3 linked regions of the Canis lupus familiaris genome follow. The protein of the gene in region 1 interacts with the protein of each later gene in a biochemical or structural test. Links are inferred from orthologs where the notes say so. Each region holds a gene or a part of one and is shown on either strand. Other genes may lie near its edges.

Evidence for each region.
Region 2: the proteins of PDK1 (region 1) and PDHA1 form a complex in vitro, tested with the Homo sapiens proteins (2 studies listed by BioGRID, with this or other methods). The link is inferred for Canis lupus familiaris from reciprocal best matches to the Homo sapiens genes PDK1 and PDHA1.
Region 3: of the proteins of PDK1 (region 1) and AKT1, one has a biochemical effect on the other in vitro, tested with the Homo sapiens proteins (3 studies listed by BioGRID and IntAct, with this or other methods). The link is inferred for Canis lupus familiaris from reciprocal best matches to the Homo sapiens genes PDK1 and AKT1.

The regions. Positions count from the first base shown.
Region 1 is NC_049257.1:17,255,144-17,261,096, forward strand, and holds the end of PDK1 (pyruvate dehydrogenase (acetyl-transferring) kinase isozyme 1, mitochondrial), read left to right. Parts: exon of another isoform or gene 1-489; intron 490-1,744; coding exon 1,745-1,885; 3' UTR 1,886-4,353; downstream 4,354-5,953. UniProt on the Homo sapiens protein: Kinase that plays a key role in regulation of glucose and fatty acid metabolism and homeostasis via phosphorylation of the pyruvate dehydrogenase subunits PDHA1 and PDHA2.
Region 2 is NC_049260.1:15,427,321-15,433,283, forward strand, and holds the end of PDHA1 (pyruvate dehydrogenase E1 component subunit alpha, somatic form, mitochondrial), read left to right. Parts: intron 1-532; coding exon 533-600; intron 601-1,978; coding exon 1,979-2,087; intron 2,088-2,384; coding exon 2,385-2,549; 3' UTR 2,550-4,294; coding exon of another isoform or gene 4,295-4,416; 3' UTR 4,417-4,510; downstream 4,511-5,963. Other genes in the region: MAP3K15 (mitogen-activated protein kinase kinase kinase 15), read right to left, coding at 4,295-4,416, 5,699-5,811. UniProt on the Homo sapiens protein: The pyruvate dehydrogenase complex catalyzes the overall conversion of pyruvate to acetyl-CoA and CO(2), and thereby links the glycolytic pathway to the tricarboxylic cycle.
Region 3 is NC_049229.1:72,719,764-72,726,084, reverse strand, and holds part of AKT1 (RAC-alpha serine/threonine-protein kinase), read left to right. Parts: intron 1-2,350; coding exon 2,351-2,462; intron 2,463-2,603; coding exon 2,604-2,751; intron 2,752-2,893; coding exon 2,894-3,025; intron 3,026-3,105; coding exon 3,106-3,171; intron 3,172-4,381; coding exon 4,382-4,450; intron 4,451-4,557; coding exon 4,558-4,683; intron 4,684-4,754; coding exon 4,755-4,883; intron 4,884-4,964; coding exon 4,965-5,179; intron 5,180-5,625; coding exon 5,626-5,713; intron 5,714-6,321. UniProt on the Homo sapiens protein: AKT1 is one of 3 closely related serine/threonine-protein kinases (AKT1, AKT2 and AKT3) called the AKT kinase, and which regulate many processes including metabolism, proliferation, cell survival, growth and angiogenesis.

The DNA.
Region 1 (5,953 bases):
CCCACTGGATGGGTTAAGCAGCGGGTTGTTGGTACCTCATTCAGTTTCTTGTTCTGGCCACTAGATGGCACCTATTTTATAGGAAATGCTGAGGACTGTATAATGGAAAAAATAAATTTATCCGAAAAGGTTAAATTCTTTCAACATAATAATTCTTTTTCTTTTCTTTTAAACCATCTCAATTGTGAGTAATTTGAAAAGGGCAACATGAAGGTAACATTTTTTCCACCAAATGTAACACTTTTTATCTAGCCCATAGATGAAGGGGTTCTGGCAATTCTGAGGCATTTAAAGAGAATATGTAGGTGAAAGGATTTTAATTTCGCTTTGGAAAAAATAGAAGACAGGAATATTACAAAATCATTAAAATCAGGGGCACCTGGTTGGCTCAATCGGTTGAGCATCCAACTCTTGATATCAGTTCAGGTCTTGATCTTGAGGTCATGAGTTCAAGCCCCTGTCGGGCTCCATGCCGTGCACGGAGCCTACCTTAAAAAAAAAAAAAAAATTAAAATCAATGTCAAAGACTTTCCTTTCTATTCTCAGAATGAAATTTCCTGTTTAATATTTTCTATATCTTGGGAAATATCCATGGCTTAAGGTTGAAATCCTACTGAAAGAAGATAAGAAGGAACATGGTTTATCTCAAGTTCTGGTAATTTGCAGGAATCTGAGATAGAACAGTGAATTAATGGTAATGATATGTTGGAAACATGAAATTATGCACAATGTGGGTAACATATATGCTATAAGTGAAATTGGTGGCCTTAATGGCAGGAGGAGAAGGCACAGGGTCAGAGCCAAGGCTAAGAATTTTTCAATCAAAAGCCAAGATGCCTTAGATAAAGTTTTGTATTTATAGTTATTATATTTTGTTATGATGACTTTTTTAAAGTACAGTGACTCCGATGAAAAAAAAGTGTTTCTTCTAACAAATGGTTGAAACAGGGGGCTCCTGGGTAGCACACTGGCTTAGCCTCTGCCTTTAGCTCAGGTGGTGATTCTGGAATCCTGAGATCAAGTTCTACTCCGACTCTTGCATGGAAGCCTACTTCTCCCTCTGCCTATGTCTCTGCCTCTCTCTCTGTGTGTCTCATGAATAAATAAATAAAAAGTTTTAAAAAATAAATCTTAAAATAATTGAAATAGATTCCATTAAATGATTGTACAATTATATATTAAGGAACATATGTCAATTTTTCTGCTTTTACATGAATTTTTTTAAAGATTTTATTTGACAGAGAGCATGAGTAGTTGAAGTGGGGCAGAGGGAGAGAGAGAGAAGCAGGGTCCCTGTTGAGCAGGAAGCCTGATGTAGGGCTCAATCCTGGGACCTCAAGATCATGACCTGAGCCAAAAGTAGATGCTCAACTAACTGAGCCACCCAGGCACCCCTTAAATGACTTTTTCAATTAACCAACTTCTGTTATGGGTCATGTTTTTATAAGAAGCATCTCCTATACCTATATAAAATTTCAATTCAGCAGCTTCGAGGCTGCTGGACAATGACTGCAAACAAAAAAACTCAATATGCACAACAAGCAGTGCCATGGACTTACTAGTAAATAATGTGTTACATATATACACCATTTCAAAATGTATGTAGATGGTGTTAATGATTAGTGAAATACAAATCCAATAAAGCGCTGTTTAATTTGTAGTAACCTTATGCCACTGTATATTTTCTCAAATAGTGGATTTAAAAAAAAAAAAAGCCAGATTTAGATCCCACTTTTTCTTTCAGGCTCTGTCAACAGAATCAATAGAGAGACTGCCAGTGTATAACAAGGCTGCCTGGAAGCATTACAATACCAACCATGAGGCTGACGACTGGTGTGTCCCCAGCAGAGAACCAAAAGACATGACAACATTTCGCAGTGCCTAGATACACTTGGGACACCGTGAACATCCAAATGTGGCTTTTGTATTAAATTTGGAAGGGATGACGTTCAGAACTACATTATACCAAATACTTCACGTGTTATTTTCAAAATTAACTATTTGGGTAGAATAAATGGGAAGTGAATTCCATTTATGTCTGTTAAACCTCCTAAAGGATGAAATTGTACCTATTTTGCACTTATATTTTCACAGTTAATTGAACATATTTTTAAACAACTGTAGTTTTGGTCAACTTTCCTCTTTATGGTAGACTTCAGAAGCATGGAAGTCTTTGGGTTTCTAACAGAAAGCTGTGTGGTTTTTAAAGAACTTTTCATTTATGTGTGCTAGAAACATTTTCTTAATGATACTGATTAAGCTAGTTAGCCATCCGGTTTTTGGAGTTGTGACCTCCATTATTAATGCGTAATGACAATTGTAAAAAGATGGTCCTCAGATGTACCAGTGACTAACTATAAGTAAAGCAAAAGATAGTTGCTCTGCAAGTCTAGCACCAGCCACCTTTCAGCATCTACATGTATCATCTTCACTCTGAAGTTGACTTACCATTTTTTAATTTCATTGCAAAGGATTGCAATAGGTTCCCTATGTAGCTAAGCCAAGATGGTGGGCAATCTACTCTGAATATGCATGTGATTAAATGCAGGGAGAAATTTTTACACTAAAAACAAACTAGCAGCTGCTAAAATTCTAGAGAAGAAATTGAGGTCAAAGCAGTGAGTCCTCGAACTATCAATTATTGAGATTACCTGGGGGAGATTTTGAACAGAATTTTTCTGGGTCTTACTCCAGACATATATATAATCAGACTCTACAGCTGGAGCCCAGAAATCTCAATTTTTAGAATGCTTCCTAGATGAGTCTAATGCCTCACCTAGTTAGGGAACTACTCCTTTAAAGTGAGTAATGTTACCACATTTGCTAAGGTAACAGAGATCTTTAGATTTTGATTCTTAATATTGAAAGGTCAGACTTCTAGACTCCAGGAGAGACCAACACTCTCAGGCCTGGTGCAGTTAAAAGCAGGAGACACAGTGACTACATGCAGACAGTCTGGTAACTGAAGAATCAGAACCATAAATGCACAAGGATTGACGAAGTACATTTATTTTATGAGAAATACCTAGACTTGGTTATCAGGAAAAATTCACCTAGGACTTAGCAGCAGTTCTTTGCATTCATATGATAATTTGCATTTTACAAATACTTTGGTATAATATGATCACTCCCTTGGGCTTTAAAACAGGTACAGAGGGGGTGGTATCATCCTTGTTTTGAGACTCAGAGTGTGGCCAGAAGTTGCACAGCATTGGAGTCAGGGCCTGAACTCTCTCTGCGGATCACTGCCAGCCGCCAGCTCTGGGAGACCACGAGGACGTTAGGGGAGTATGGGGTTAGTCACAACTCAACTTTTAAAGTGACAGGGAAATATATCAAAAATAAATTTTAAAGTAAGATTTTGAATTTTTAAAGAACAACTTTACTACTTAAATGTGGGAACTTTATCTGGAAAATACATCTGGTGGCAACACCTCATTCTCAAAAGGATTCCATGAGTTTAACAATTCTATATAAATTTGTAAATCAGAAGGGTTGTAAAAGGGCAGTCCAGGACCCTCATTTGAGAGGTGACAGCCCTGAGACTCAGGGCTTCTTAGCTAATTTGACCAAATGTTGGAAAAAGATCCTTTACCCAATCGATTGTTCCTTAATTATGGATTTTGTGAAAAATAATAAGATATGCTAGTGGATGATTTATATTAGTTCAAGGTATTACCGTTTTTTAGCTTTAAATTACACTTTTTTTGTAATGATGAAATATTTTAGAATTCTTTGAATCAAAATACTTTTCTTTCCTAAATGAAACATTTGTACAACTGACATAAACTTGCTGTTTTACTTCTGAAACACTTCCCCTCCCCCCCAAATTAAAGCTTTTCTCTATTTATGAGCTAAGAAATGATGTTTTTAAAGCAAAAGTGAAATGTTTTCCTTTAGCTTCTTTTTAAGGTATAACAGCTTTTTTACTTTATTATGTGGTAATGGACAGAAGATTACATACAAAAATGTCTGGGGGCTAGCATTCTCCTCGGTGGTTTCAAATCATTGCGCTACCTGAAAAGTTTTTAAATTCTTAGGTTGTTTTGTCCACCAGCATTTAGTGTGATGCCATATAGATATAAAAATATACAGAAGGATAAGAAGTGGATACTAAGTGATTTTTATACCTGGGCATTGAATAAATGTGCCAACATTTTTTAGGAAGATTCGCAAAAATATTCTGACCTATACTTAAATTACTGGCTGGCTTTAGATGTCTTCATACTAAATAGTGATCACTTTCTTGCACTGTGAAGTTTTTACATGAAGATGTTAAAGTGGAAGTCTACCATATTATTTTATAAAATGTTTTGTGTGTGGCAATAAACTGAAAACATGGATCAACTCTTATTTTGAAAATTAATTGGATCGATTTAGGTTTTTTTAAATAATATATATTTTTTTCAATTAAAGTCTCTTCCATCAAGGGTCGGTGTTCTATAAACACTCAAATGGTTGTACCTAGATGGCTCACACTAAGTCTCCCCATCTTCAGTTGAGGAAATGTTTAGAACTTAGATTTCCGATGTGTATATTCTAATGGAAAAGGCAGGAGATAGAATTTGTATGGTTTGAGTTATCCCAGATTTTCATTATCCAAACATCCACTGATGGACCAACTCACCACACAAGTGAAGATCTTCTGTTGTGTGATTTTTGAAAGGTTATATTAATGTGCTCTTTGAGTAAGTTTTCATAATATAAGTAATTATAAGAAAGGTCCTTTTTTTTAAGATTGTATTTATTTATTCATGAGAGACAGACAGAAAGGCAGAGACACAGGCAGAGAGAGAAGCAGGCTCCATGCAGGGAGCCTGACGTGGGACTCAATCCTGGGTCTCCAGGATCATGCCCTGGACTGAAGGAGGCACTAAACCGCTGAGCCACCCAGGCTGCCCCTATAAGAAAGGTCTTAATTTAACTAGCAGTCCCCTCTGTACCAGTTGAAAAGTCAGAACTAAATCTAGTCAAAGATAGGTGCCTATCTCTATTCCTGAATAATGGGATATGACTACAACTTCCCATCATTGTTAATCCCAACAAGCTCCGTAACAAACTCCATAGGTGAAAAACTGGGCAAACAAACCATTATCATTACTGGACCTTGGTGGCCTGTGAATGGCTAATCAGAGGGGAAGCCAAAAATCAGTCAACCAACTTGAGTTTGTGTCTTCAATTGCTTTGTCATAAAGTTTTAGCAGATGGGTAATCAGAATTGAGCTAGCTGGTTAGCAAACGGCTTTTCCTGGAGGAACTTTTCATCATATGTGATTAACTTCTGGCCCCAATGATTCATCTTCTTACAGTCAAGCCCAGTGCTTGAAAAAAATAGTATAATGAGGTGTGAAGGATTTTACATATGTTAAAAAAGAACATGCTGGTTTGCTTAGTTCAGGCATTCTAGGACTACTGACCTTTTGTTCTACTTACATGTTTGGAAAGAATTAGACATACTGCTCACTTTTTCCTAGAGTCTTCATATTTCTTTAGCAATTGCTAACCATAGGATTTTGATAGGAAAAGACAAGATTGCCAGTTTTGTTTCTTTTAATTTATAACATGAAACTTAATCCATATTTATAAGAACAGTGGTAATAAACACAATATAGGTGTATGTTATTATCATTCTTACTCTTTCCTCACCAAGGCCAATATTGTACATAGTTATACACAGATCAACTGTAATTTAAAAATCTTTTTCATCAATCAGATTGCATTTTAGTGGTTTGGAATGTGTTTCTAGGTCCTTTCATTCCAGTTCAAGGTTGCCCATTTTTCCTGTAAAACTTTAGGCCTTTTTTCTTGCCTTTCAAAAGCTGTTATTTTCATTAGGGAATGGTGACAGCTATCTTTTACTCTATTGAATTAGATTTTTGAGCGAAAATGTGCAGTTTTAATTCCAGGAAGGTAAACCAAACTTCCATTTGAATGTTACATTCACTTGGGAGCT
Region 2 (5,963 bases), on another chromosome or scaffold:
TTTTCTGTACCTTTTTAAAAGAATCCAGATGCTTGTAGATCATTCATATGTGCCTGAGGGGGAAAAACTAGCTTTATTGGCCCTGAAGATAAAAACCATCCCCTTCCTTGCTGTCATACCTGCCTTAATGGGTTTTTCTGCATTAAATCTCAGCTGTTTTATAGGATTATTCTATGTCAAAGGCAGTGCTGATGAAATAATATCAGTGGGCTCTAGAACATGCTGAATGCCTTTTTGATTCAGAAACTAAGTTCTTGCGGTGCCTGGGTAGCTTAGTGGTCTGCCTTTGGCTCGGGTCGTGATCTTGGGGTCCCCGCCCCTCTCTCTCTCATGAATAATTAAAATCTTAAAAAAAATAAAAAGCAACTAAGTTCCATATAAACTAGAAGTATCAGAAAGGAGAACATAATTCTTAAGTCAGTCAGCTAATAGGAAATTCTTGACAACTCAGCCAACTTACAGAAAATCCAATGAGAATATCTTTGATTCTGAAAGGATGTGCTGTGCTCATCGTCTCACTGGGTTGTTTTAGGGGCCCATATTGATGGAGCTACAGACTTACCGTTACCATGGACACAGCATGAGCGACCCTGGTGTCAGGTATGGTCATGGGAAATCTGGGTGTGGTGTCCCTGGGTGGGTGGGCTTTGTATGGTGCTACTCATATGAAAAAGCAAAGCATTTCAACATTTGCTTTGGAAGCCAGACACCAGTGGGCTTCATGCGGTGAATTTGTTGGTATCGAGTAATTATTTGAGTCTTTGCCTGGAAGCATTCGGAAAATCCTTATTTGTAGTATGTACATGTTAGCATGAGCAGTAATGAATTGCAGAGAAGGGGGCACCTGGCTGGCTTAGAGGGGAGAGCATGTGACTTGGGATTTGTGATGTTATGGGTAGAAGTTACTTTACAGAGAGAAACTGTTGGATAAAACAGGTCAATGGTATAGCATATATATATTTAGGGACATGTAGCTTTTGTAGGCATTACCCAAATATAGAGTTGAAATGTGAAAACTTGGCTGGTATGGAGTGAGGCCACCTGGCACGTGGGATATTCAGTATATTGAAATCAATCGGTCAAAAAAAAGGTAAGTTACATTAGGAAGATAGTTTTACTTGCCACTTAGTGACCCTGGCATGTAATGCTGCCATCCCAGAGTGTGACAGAGTTAAAAGTAGTAGATTTAGTCAATAAGCCCTAACAAGCCTGAGAGTAGATTGGTATTCTAAGAGAAATGTTATAAAGAACAACTTAGATGGAAAAATGTACTTGGTATTTTCAAAAAAACAATAGAGCCCTTTTAGTGGTGGTTGGAAGATATAAGACAAGGATGTATGTACAGTTGACCTTTGAGCAACACAGGTTTCAACAACATGGGCCCACAGATCCAGGGATTTTCTTTTTTCATTTCTCTTGACTATAACACTTCTTTCCAACTTCCGTTAAGAGCACACTATATAGACTAATACATGGAAGTAACATACAAAATACGTGTTAATAAAGTGTTATTCATAAGACTTGTTTTTCGGGAGTCAACATTTGCAGATTTTCAACTGTGTGTATGGGCGGTTGGCGCTCTTAACTGACTCTCGAACACCGTGGGGCTTCTTTTCTAGAATCAGGAATTGGAAAACCTGTGCAAGTGTTCACTGGCCTCACTTCTCTGGGCTCCTAAAGCCTGATTTCCTGCTTGGTATTCTGCTACCTGCCAGTGACGTGAGAGGGCACAGGCAGTGGCTCTACCACTTCCTTCAGATCCTACATCTGGATCAAAAAAGCAAATAAAAGCTTGGCCCCTCCTCTTCAGAACACCTGAGAAGCCAGGGGAATCGTCAGGGTAGAGTTTGCCTCTAAGATTCTAGTATCTTTCATGGAAGAGTTCTTGTATTCTATGTGCACCCTCCCCCGGTGACCGCTCTGTGTCCGAAGCCCACGTCTCTGGAGCTGTCCTTACCTACTGTTTGTCTTCCTGTAGTTACCGTACACGAGAGGAGATTCAGGAAGTAAGAAGTAAGAGCGACCCTATCATGCTTCTCAAGGATAGAATGGTGAACAGCAACCTGGCCAGTGTCGAGGAACTAAAGGTAGGCTCGCCTTTTCCAGCAACCAGTTTTTTTTTTGCACCCAGAGAGCTGCCACTCCTGGGGGAGCTGCCTGGGTCAGTGGGAAAGTATGGGTCAGTCATATTCGCAAAACCTTGAAACCCAGGAGCTGTTTTTTCCTAAAAATATACTTTGGATGTTCGGTTCATAAAGAGCCCCTGTTAGTACTTCTATTCCTAGGAGAGTTCTAGTTGTACTAGCAACCTGTTCCAAGTAGACCTGCTTGTATCTATGCTGCTGTTTACTCAGTAACCTCCTGAACTATAATCTGATTTATAGGAAATTGATGTTGAAGTGAGGAAGGAAATTGAGGATGCTGCCCAGTTTGCCACTGCTGATCCGGAACCGCCTTTGGAAGAACTAGGCTATCACATTTACAGCAGCGATCCGCCTTTTGAAGTTCGGGGTGCAAATCAGTGGATCAAGTTTAAGTCTATCAGTTAATAATAGATAGTTACACCTTCAGTGGGATCCAACTCTAAGGGTCTTTGTGTTCTCAAATTTGTTAAGGAAGAAAAGCCCATAAAAAGAATATAGGCTAAGGTAGTAATTGCATGTGTTTTGTACAACAACTGTACAACAGTGTTGCATTAAAAGATGTTACTGCACACTTAGTGTGAATATTATATAAGGTTATTTTAGATTCAGATTTTTCCTTAAAATAGTTCTATTCCTTTTAATAACTGAAAAATAGTATACAACTAAATCAAAAGCCATTCATTCCTACGTTTGAGGGGAGTGGGATCATTCCCTTGACCCTTGGCAAGGGCCCCTGTGCCTCACCTAACAGCAAATACTACATGCACACCCTCCTCAGTGTGCGTGTGGGAGCTAAAGCCTCTTCACACTGACCATCATTTTTCAGTAAAAGTATATTATCTCCAGTCAGGGAGGTAGAAGGACAATTCCAGTTTTATTTTTTTAAGGATTTTATTTTTAAGTAATCTCTAGACCCAACATGGGGCTCGAACTCCCAACTCTGAGATCAAGACTCAAATGCTCCATCAGCTGAGCCAGCTAGGTGCCCCAACAATGCCATTTTTAAATAAGACCATAATCATTTCAAAGGCCAAATAACTTAGTTTTCTTCATTTATACATTAAATACAAAGCTATTTTCTTAATAGTTTTCTATTTACATTCATATCAAACATTAAATACAAGGCATATTCTTAAGTACAATGCCAGTTTATAGTAAGCTATGGTCTAAAACAGTGAGGCCCAGCCTGTTACTTTAGGGTGTATATTGAAATTTGTTTAAAAGATTCCATAATATTCTGGGATGTCAAATTAGAGTTCAGCCACTGTTCTCACAATACGTAAGTTCTACTCACCTTTAAAACATGTTGGTAAGAGATTTAAAAAGCTCATCCCATTTCAGCAATTCGTTAAAACTTCAAACTCTTAAATAACGGGGTTTTCCTTATGTAAACTTAGTGGAATTCGGGTGTATGTTAACAGAAATCTTAAGAAGGATGTCAGCTCTTCGCTCCCTCTGTCCCCTGGCCTAAGCCGACTGGTTCAGCCTCATCTCGGGCGGCTGGAGACCCCTGAGCCCTTCTGTACTGGCAGACTGCTGTCCAGAGCCGGCAGAGGCAACCACCACTAGGAGACAAATGAGGCTGCTTTAGAGTCGTAAGCACACCACCGAGTACTTCTTTAGGAGCTCTTAAGCTACAGTGTACAACTCTAGACCTGTCTAGATTGCCAAAATGCAGTTCCTCGCTTAACTAGAGGTCTTTCGTCTTGTATTTGGGCTCCAGTAGGAGGGCCAGGTGGCTCTGCGGAGCAGGCTGAGGAAGGAGGGGCTGGAGAGAGCTCTGGGGTTTCACCTCCCACTGGTACCCAACTCTACCCTAAGGAAACTCTGGAGTGAGAGAGGAGGTTGGGTAGTTGGTTTTCTGACTAAGCCATAGCCATACATAGGAAGGAGAATTGATTTCAGTGAAGGAGTAAAGTGACCACCACTTTGTTTTCTACTGATTTAAAAGCACAATCACATCAAAAAAGTCATTTTCTATTACAGTGTTTTGAAGCCATTCTTACCGTAGTCTAAGGTGTCTTAGATCTTCCCTAGTGATGTCATTAAGAATATCAGAAAGGGTATAACCTTCTTCAACAATCTGAAACAAAAATCGAATACAGAAGAGCTAAGCTGCTTTGTAAGAAGGGCATAGGAATGCTTTTTTGTTAGAAATTTACCTTTTCTATTGTACTCGAATCTGCTCCTTGCAGTTGTAACCAGTCCACAAGCTCTTTATCAGTTTTCTGCTCCTGAGACCCAGGAGGGGATGCTGAATTCTCTGTAGTATCTGCAACGATGTGAGATGTATTTTGTTGTATGTTAATGTTTAAAACTCTTCAAAAGTAACAAGGTGGATGAAATAAACTATTATACAACATAAAGGTGATTTGAAAGAAAATGAATTTAAACCTGTGTGAACTGGGGATCCCTGGGTGGCGCAGCGGTTTGGCGCCTGCCTTTGGCCCAGGGCACGATCCTGGAGACCCGGGATCGAATCCCACGTCGGGCTCCCAGTGCATGGAGCCTGCTTCTCCCTCTGCCTGTGTCTCTGCCTGTGTGTGTGTGTGTGTGTGCGTGTGTGCGTGTGTGTGTGTGTGTGTGTGTGACTATCATAAATAAAAAAATTTTTAAAAAACTGTGTGAACTGTTCTAATTCATACTACACAACACTCCCTAGTTGGTGGATTCACTTCCCAGAGATTAAAGGGACCACAGGTAAGGGTGAGGTTACTTGCGAATCTGATATGCTTGCTATCTGTCTACCACCTTAAAAAAATAAAGATTTTATTTATTTATTCATGAGAGGCAGAGACACAGGCAGAGGGAGAAGCAGGCTCCATGCAGGGAGCCCGACGCGGGACTCCATCCCAGGACTCCAGGATCATGCCTGGAGTTGAAGGCAGACGCTTAACTGCTAAGCCACCCTGGCATCCCTCTATCTGCCACTTTAAATGCTTATTACAGTCTGTAAAATGCCTCTTGTAAGGAATCTCATCCTTAACTGCACTGGAAATCAAATGAGGAAATAGACTTCAGTCCTGAGATTTTGTGCCCGTGCTTATCCATCCCACATTCCAAGAGGTGCCTGCAGCTCTTTGCTAAGTGGCCTGAAGTGGATCAGGTTTAACTTGTGCAATAAATCTGCAATCACCCTTTTTAGGTATGTAAGGGCCGTGCCCTTTGACAGGCAGTCATGTAACCACTACTGTCATCAAGATGACAAATTTCTGTCACCCCCAGAAGTTCTTGCAGCCTTTTATAATCATTCTCCCCCCACCCCCAATTCTGATGTTTTCGGTCCCTAGAGTTTTGCCTTTAACAGAGTTTTGCATAAATATTCCATATTTAGGTGCTCATAGCATGTAGCCTTTTGAATCTGCCTTCACTGAGCATAATGCATTTGTGATTCATCCATGTTTTTGAATGTACCAGTGGTTTTCTGTTACTGAGGAGTATTCCAGAATATACTGGAGTACTTACTGCTTTACTAGAGAGTAACTGCAACTGTGGCAAGGCTGACTAGCCATTTTAAGTGGTCTCACACACAAAGCAAGTGGAAAATTTCTCACCATTAGATTTGAATTGTAACTGAAGATGATACAATTCCTGAGTTTTCCGCTCCAGGGTTTGCCGTAGAAGATTCTGGTACTCTCTTTCTTTCTGAACTAGGTGTTCCAAAAGTCTGGTTAAAAAAAATGCCATTATTCAGAGAGAGCCTAACACCATTCACACTGCCTGCTTTCAGCCTGGGCACCTTCCTTGTGTTCCCTGCCCTTGAAAACAAAGTCCGGCACTTGGCATTTTGTCTCAACGTGTATCACAAACCAGAAGATA
Region 3 (6,321 bases), on another chromosome or scaffold:
CTGGGAGCCTGGGGTCCTGTAGCTCCCCCACGTCTGGCCCAGGTTCTGCTCCAGAGTCTCGGGGAGGTGGCAGGGGTGATGGGGAGGGACTCACGGCTTCCGTGTGGGCGGCAGGGACATAGAGCTGGGCGGTCCTGGACCTTGGCTGTCCTGCCCACCCTCTCGGTGTAGCCAGCGCTGTGCTGTAGGGGCAAGGGGCATGGCCAGCGTAGCCCCCCACCGAGGGCTTCTGTCCGGGGGGGAGCATAGCCCCTGCCCTGTAAGTCTCCTGCCTGGGGGTCTCCCAGGGGACCTTTACCATGACCCGGGTCCACTGAGTCCTGACCCCATCCGCGTCTTCAGGTTTCCTCGGAGCAGCCATAGAGTAGGGGCTCCAGGGTGACGGGAGACCAAGGAGGTAGGCACCCCTGTCCCTGCAGCCTGGTGGCTGGCTGGGCTCCGCCCAGTGCCTCCTTGGCTGGGGTGGGTGCCACCTTGCTGGCAGGGCTGTGGGGGCCCTGGGGAATGTTCCCTGCGGGCAGAGAGCCTACAGAGGCTCTCGGGAGGCAGGCGCCATGCAGAGGGGCTGGGGCTGGGGCCCTGAAGCCGGGGAGGTGGCTGGGTGGGGGCCTCTGTGGCTACGGGCTTCTCCTTGGGGATGGATTCCAGGGGTGGGGGCACAGGAAGCCAGGGTGGGACGGACACCAGGCGCCTAGGTTCTGGGAAAAGCTGGTGGTCTCTGATGAGCCAGTGGGAGGTAGGTGTGCGGGACGGAGAACACAGGCCACAAGGCTTTCTGTCCCCCATCCCCATGTTGACATAGGCCAGGCCCAGCCCCGGTAGACCACTCCTTACCTCTGCCGAGCCCGGCCAGGCCCCCCTGAGGTTGCTAGGGCCCTCACACACACTGGGCCAGCGTCGCCCTAGAATTTCTCAGCGGTACCCCAGACTGGCTCACACCCCTCTTGGGGCCTCGTGCATCCCCACAGCCCCTGTGCTGCTGGTGTGCGTGCATTACTGGTGTGTGTGTGTGCTCTAGCTGTGTGCCTGCTCCAGGTGTGTGCCTGCTCCAGGTGTGTGCGTGCTCCAGCTGTGTGCGTGTTCCAGCTGTGTGCGTGCTCCAGCTGTGTGCCTGCTCCAGGTGTGTGTGTGCTCCAGCTGTGTGCGTGCTCCAGCTGTGTGCGTGCTCCAGCTGTGTGCCTGCTCCAGGTGTGTGCGTGCTCCAGCTGTGTGCCTGCTCCAGCTGTGTGGCTGCACCAGGTGTGTGTGTGCTCCAGCTGTGTGCCTGCTCCAGGTGTGTGCGTGCTCCAGCTGTGTACCTGTTCCAGGCGTGTGCATTCTCCTGGTGTGTTTTGCTCTTGCTGTGTGTCTGGTCCAGCTGTGTGCCCGCTTCAGGTGTGTGCAGTCCTGGTGTGTGCGTGCTCCAGCCATGAGCGTGCCCCTGGTGTGTGTGTGTTCCAACTGTGTGTGAGCTTCCAGTGTGTGGGAACTCCTAGTGTGCGTGTGTTCCAGGTGTGCCCGCGTTTCAGCTGTGTATGAGCTCCTAGTGTGCATACAATCCAGCTGTGTGTCTGCTCCAGGCACGTGCATGTTCCAGCTGTGTGAGCTCCCGGTGTGCACGCATCCCAGCTGTGTGCCTGCTCCAAGTGTGTGCCTGTTCCGGCCATGAGCATGCTTCTGAGCTCCTTAGTGTGCGTGTGTTTCAGCTGTGTATGAGCTCCCGGTGTGCACACATTCCAGGTTTGTGCATGCTCCAGGTGTGTGCGTGCTCTGGATATGTGTCTCCGTGTTCCTGCCATGCGCCTGGAATCCCCAGCCTCGGGTGGTGGTGGGGGAATGCCATCGTGTGGGGTGGGTACAGCCCGAGCAGCCTCCAGGGAGGGTCATGTCCTCCAGCTGCCTGCCCAGGACAGGCGGCGTCTCTGAAGGGTGAGTCCCCACCGGCCTTTGCCCTGGGACTGGCCCTGCTGGGGGGGGCGTGGGCTGGGTAAATGGCAGGGGGTTCCTGCTCGGGGGCCAGCTGCTTTCCCTCCTCTGCCCCGCCCCTGGGGCATCCCTCCTCCTCCTCCCTCCGGCCAGTTGAGCTGCCTGGCATGCAGCACGGGCTCAGAGACCGAAGGACCAGGGGAGAGGATGACATGGGGCCGAGGTGACCCGGCCTCAGCCAGCCCTGCAGGGGCACCTCACTGCCTGCCAGCACAGTGTCAGGACTGGAATAGGGGTCCCACCCCTGGTTTTACAAGCAGGGGAGCCAAGGCGTGGAATGGGAATGGGATAGGGCTTTGCATGACCTGGTGGTGGGGTCCCGGGGCCGGGGGCAGGTGGGCCCTGTGTGCGGGGGTGCAGACTCACCTGCCAGCCCTGCCCCCAGAATGTCAGCTGATGAAGACTGAGCGGCCCAGGCCCAACACCTTCATCATCCGTTGCCTGCAGTGGACCACGGTCATCGAGCGCACCTTCCACGTGGAGACACCCGAGGAGCGGTATGAGATGGATGCACGGGGCAGCTGGGTGCCGGGGCCTCTGCTCCCTGGTGGGGAGGGCACACGCCCTGTGGGGAGCCAGGCCTCGCTGTCCCCCGTGTCCAGGCCGGGGTCACGGGGCCTCACGTGCCGGCCCTGCAGGGAGGAGTGGACGACTGCCATCCAGACAGTGGCCGACGGGCTCAAGAGGCAGGAGGAAGAGATGATGGACTTCCGGTCGGGCTCGCCCAGTGACAACTCGGGGGCTGAGGAGATGGAGGTGTCCCTGGCCAAGCCCAAGCACCGTGTGGTGAGGCGCTCCCCCAGCTCAGAGGGGCCTGGCCGCCCCATTGTGGCCACTGGGAGCCCTGTGGGAGGAGTAGGGCTGGGATGCGGGATTGCGGGGGGGTCCGGGCCGCCCTGACCCCAGGTGCCTGCCCGCCGCCCCACAGACCATGAATGAGTTTGAGTACCTGAAGCTGCTGGGGAAGGGCACGTTTGGGAAGGTGATCCTGGTCAAGGAGAAGGCCACGGGCCGCTACTACGCCATGAAGATCCTGAAGAAGGAGGTCATTGTGGCCAAGGTGGGGCACGGGGCCGGGGCCTGGCCGGGGTGTGGGGGCGGGCAGGGGCAGGCGGGGGCTCACCGGGCTCTGTCTTCCAGGACGAGGTTGCCCACACGCTCACGGAGAACCGTGTTCTCCAGAACTCTCGGCATCCCTTCCTGACGGTGAGTCCTGGAGGCGCCGGGCTGCCTGCGGGGGTGAGGCTCTGGGCCGGGGGCTCCCTGCCACCAGCCTGTCCGCGGAAGCCCCGCGTGCCTGGCCGAGGGTGGGCACACCTGCGAGGATGCCGGGAGGCGGGGGTGGTTTGTGCCCCCGTGCACGGAATGGGGTCTTCCTCCCCCCGCGCTGCCCGAGGCCCTGGGAGGACCCCAAGCCCCCGTGCCTGCCCTGCACGCCCCCTTCCGGCTACTCCCCCCTTGAGGCTGGAGCCAGGAGGGTCTCATCCTGGGGGGCCCTTGGCCCAGGAGGAGCGTCCGGAAAGCCGTTAGCCTTAGCGCCGTCCCGGGCTCGGCCAGCTCCTGGGAGGTGTGGATGGGCCCGCGCTCACCTGCAGGGTCTGGCCGGGCGCTGCCCCCACCCGGGCTCTCCCTGGGACTCCCCCCCACCCCCAGGCTGCGTCACCTACTCAGGGTGTCCTCAGCCCAGGGGACCGCCTGATCCAAAGCAGGAGCAAAGTAGGGAAGGGGCTGTACTTCTCTAAAGTTTCTGTTCCTTAAAACGTTTTCTTAGGAGAAGTGACCGACATTTTTAAAGAAGGTCTCATTTTTTAGCCCAGACTCATTCTTTATGCTGGCTTTGCCTGAGATTTGTGTCACCTTGCTCCTGCTGCTCGTGTCCAGGCTCTGTGTCCTTCCCTCCCCCTCAGCGCACCCCCATGACCACAGCACCCTGCCGCGCTCGACAGGGCCTCCGGGGTCCGTGCACGCTGCCCCCCCCACCCCCGGCCCTGGCGGTGGCACCCCCTCTGCAGGTTCTCCAAGGGGACAGGGCTCACGGGGCACAGCTTATCCCCGCTGCCCGAGTCTGTGGCCGGTAGAGACCAGCCTGTCCTGTGTTTTCCGTGGATGGGGCTCCTCCCCGGCGGCTGGGCTAGACCCGGGGTCAGTCACTTGTGGGGACGACTCGGTCCGTGTACGGCCAGGCCGCTGGTGGTGTGGGGTGGGAGGGCGGCCGGGAAGCTCTGCCCAGGCGTGTCCTCCCCTTGCCGACCGTACCCCGTCCCGCGCTGGGCCCCGAGCCCGGGGGAAGCCTCCACGCGGTCACCAGGATCGCCAGCTTCCGGGACCCTACCTGCCTGAGATTCAAGACCGGCCCGTGGGCGTCGGGCGTCCTGCGGGGCCCGGGGGCCGCGTACCAGCTCTGCTTCCCTCGCAGGCCCTGAAGTACTCCTTCCAGACCCACGACCGCCTCTGCTTCGTCATGGAGTACGCCAACGGGGGCGAGGTAGGGTGGCCGCGGCGTGCGTGGGGCTGGCCCTGAGCCCTGGGGTCCCGCCCGGGAGGCAGGGTCTCGGCCCGCAGCCCCCACACCGTCACGCCCTTGTCCCGCAGCTCTTCTTCCACCTGTCCCGGGAGCGGGTGTTCCCCGAGGACCGGGCGCGCTTCTACGGCGCCGAGATCGTGTCGGCCCTGGACTACCTGCACTCGGAGAAGAACGTGGTCTACCGCGACCTCAAGGTGGGCGGGCGGGAGCGGCCTGGGGGGTGCGCTGCAGGGGGTGGGGCTGGCACTGACCCGCCCCCCCACAGCTGGAGAACCTCATGCTGGACAAGGACGGGCACATCAAGATCACGGACTTCGGGCTGTGCAAGGAAGGCATCAAGGACGGAGCCACCATGAAGACCTTCTGCGGGACGCCCGAGTACCTGGCCCCCGAGGTGCGCACCTGCCGCGTCCCCAGGGGGCCTGGGCCCCCGCGTCCCCCGGGCGGCCTGTGACCCGCGCCCCTGCGTCCCCAGGTGCTGGAGGACAACGACTACGGCCGGGCGGTGGACTGGTGGGGGCTGGGCGTGGTCATGTACGAGATGCTGTGCGGCCGCCTGCCCTTCTACAACCAGGACCACGAGAAGCTCTTCGAGCTCATCCTCATGGAGGAGCTGCGCTTCCCGCGCACGCTCAGCCCTGAGGCCAAGTCCCTGCTCTCAGGGCTGCTCAAAAAGGACCCCAAGCAGAGGTGAGCCCGCGGCCCTGAGCCAGCAGGGGGCTGGTGGGCCACCCCACCCCCGTGCCCGTGCCCCCCAGGGACAGCGGGCCAGCCTCCGGGCCACGCTGGTGGCTGATGTGTGACGTCCTCGGCCAGGGCCGATGGGGACCTCGCAGCCTCTCACACCTGCTCAGGAAGACCCTGCCCTGCCGGCAGCACCTGCCTCCCCGACGTCCTCCTCGTGCAGGAGCCTGGCCCATGGCCTGGTGTTGTCCACTGCCCCCAGGGAGGCAGTGCCATCCCCCGCCCCAGGACCATCACCCTCAAACCGGCTCCCCTCTCCCGTGCCCCCCAGCCCCAGGCTGTGCCCCCTGCACCGTCCTCCCTGCTGCCCCGAGACCCCAGCAGGAGGAGGGCCCGGTGAGGGGCCCGAGCCCTGAGCCAGGCATGGCAGCCCCTGACGTGTCCCTCCGCAGGCTCGGAGGGGGCTCAGAGGACGCCAAGGAGATCATGCAGCACCGCTTCTTCGCTAGCATCGTGTGGCAGGACGTGTACGAGAAGAAGGTGTGTGGGTGGCCTGGCGCATCTCCCCCCTTCCCACCCCTTCTCCAGGCTTACAGGGTCTGCACTGCGGGATTTCCTCCCAAGCCCCGAACAGGGTCCTCCCGCAGGGTCCTCCCTCGGTCCAACCCCCAGAGGGAGTGTGGGGGCGTGGACTCCCCGAACCCGGCGCCCTGTCAGCTTTGGGCCTCAGGCTTCCCCGTCCCTGAGGCTGCCCGTGAAGCCTGGCAGTGGAGCGGGGGCCCTAACCCTGCCCTCCCACTCTCTCCACTTGTCCATAGTCCGTCCTGCCGCCCTGAGCACGTGGGATCGGGGCACAGCACCCGCTTGCCTAGCGCATGCAGGAGGCCTCCCAGGAGCGAGGCAGCTGCCGCTTGCCCCCATTCCTCTGTCCTTTGCCCTCTGAGGGACTTGAGGGGCGCAGTGGCCCAGCAGGTCAGGAAGCCTGGACCAGGGCGTGCTGCACACCTGTCACCAAATAGACTCCCACCTGGTTTCCATTCTCCCCTCCCCTGCAGGCCGCACACACCGGGTGGGCCTCCGCCCTGTCTGCGAGACGGGGCGCCCCCACCCTGCTCAGCTCCCAGCCACTACCCTGCCCTGAGGTCTGC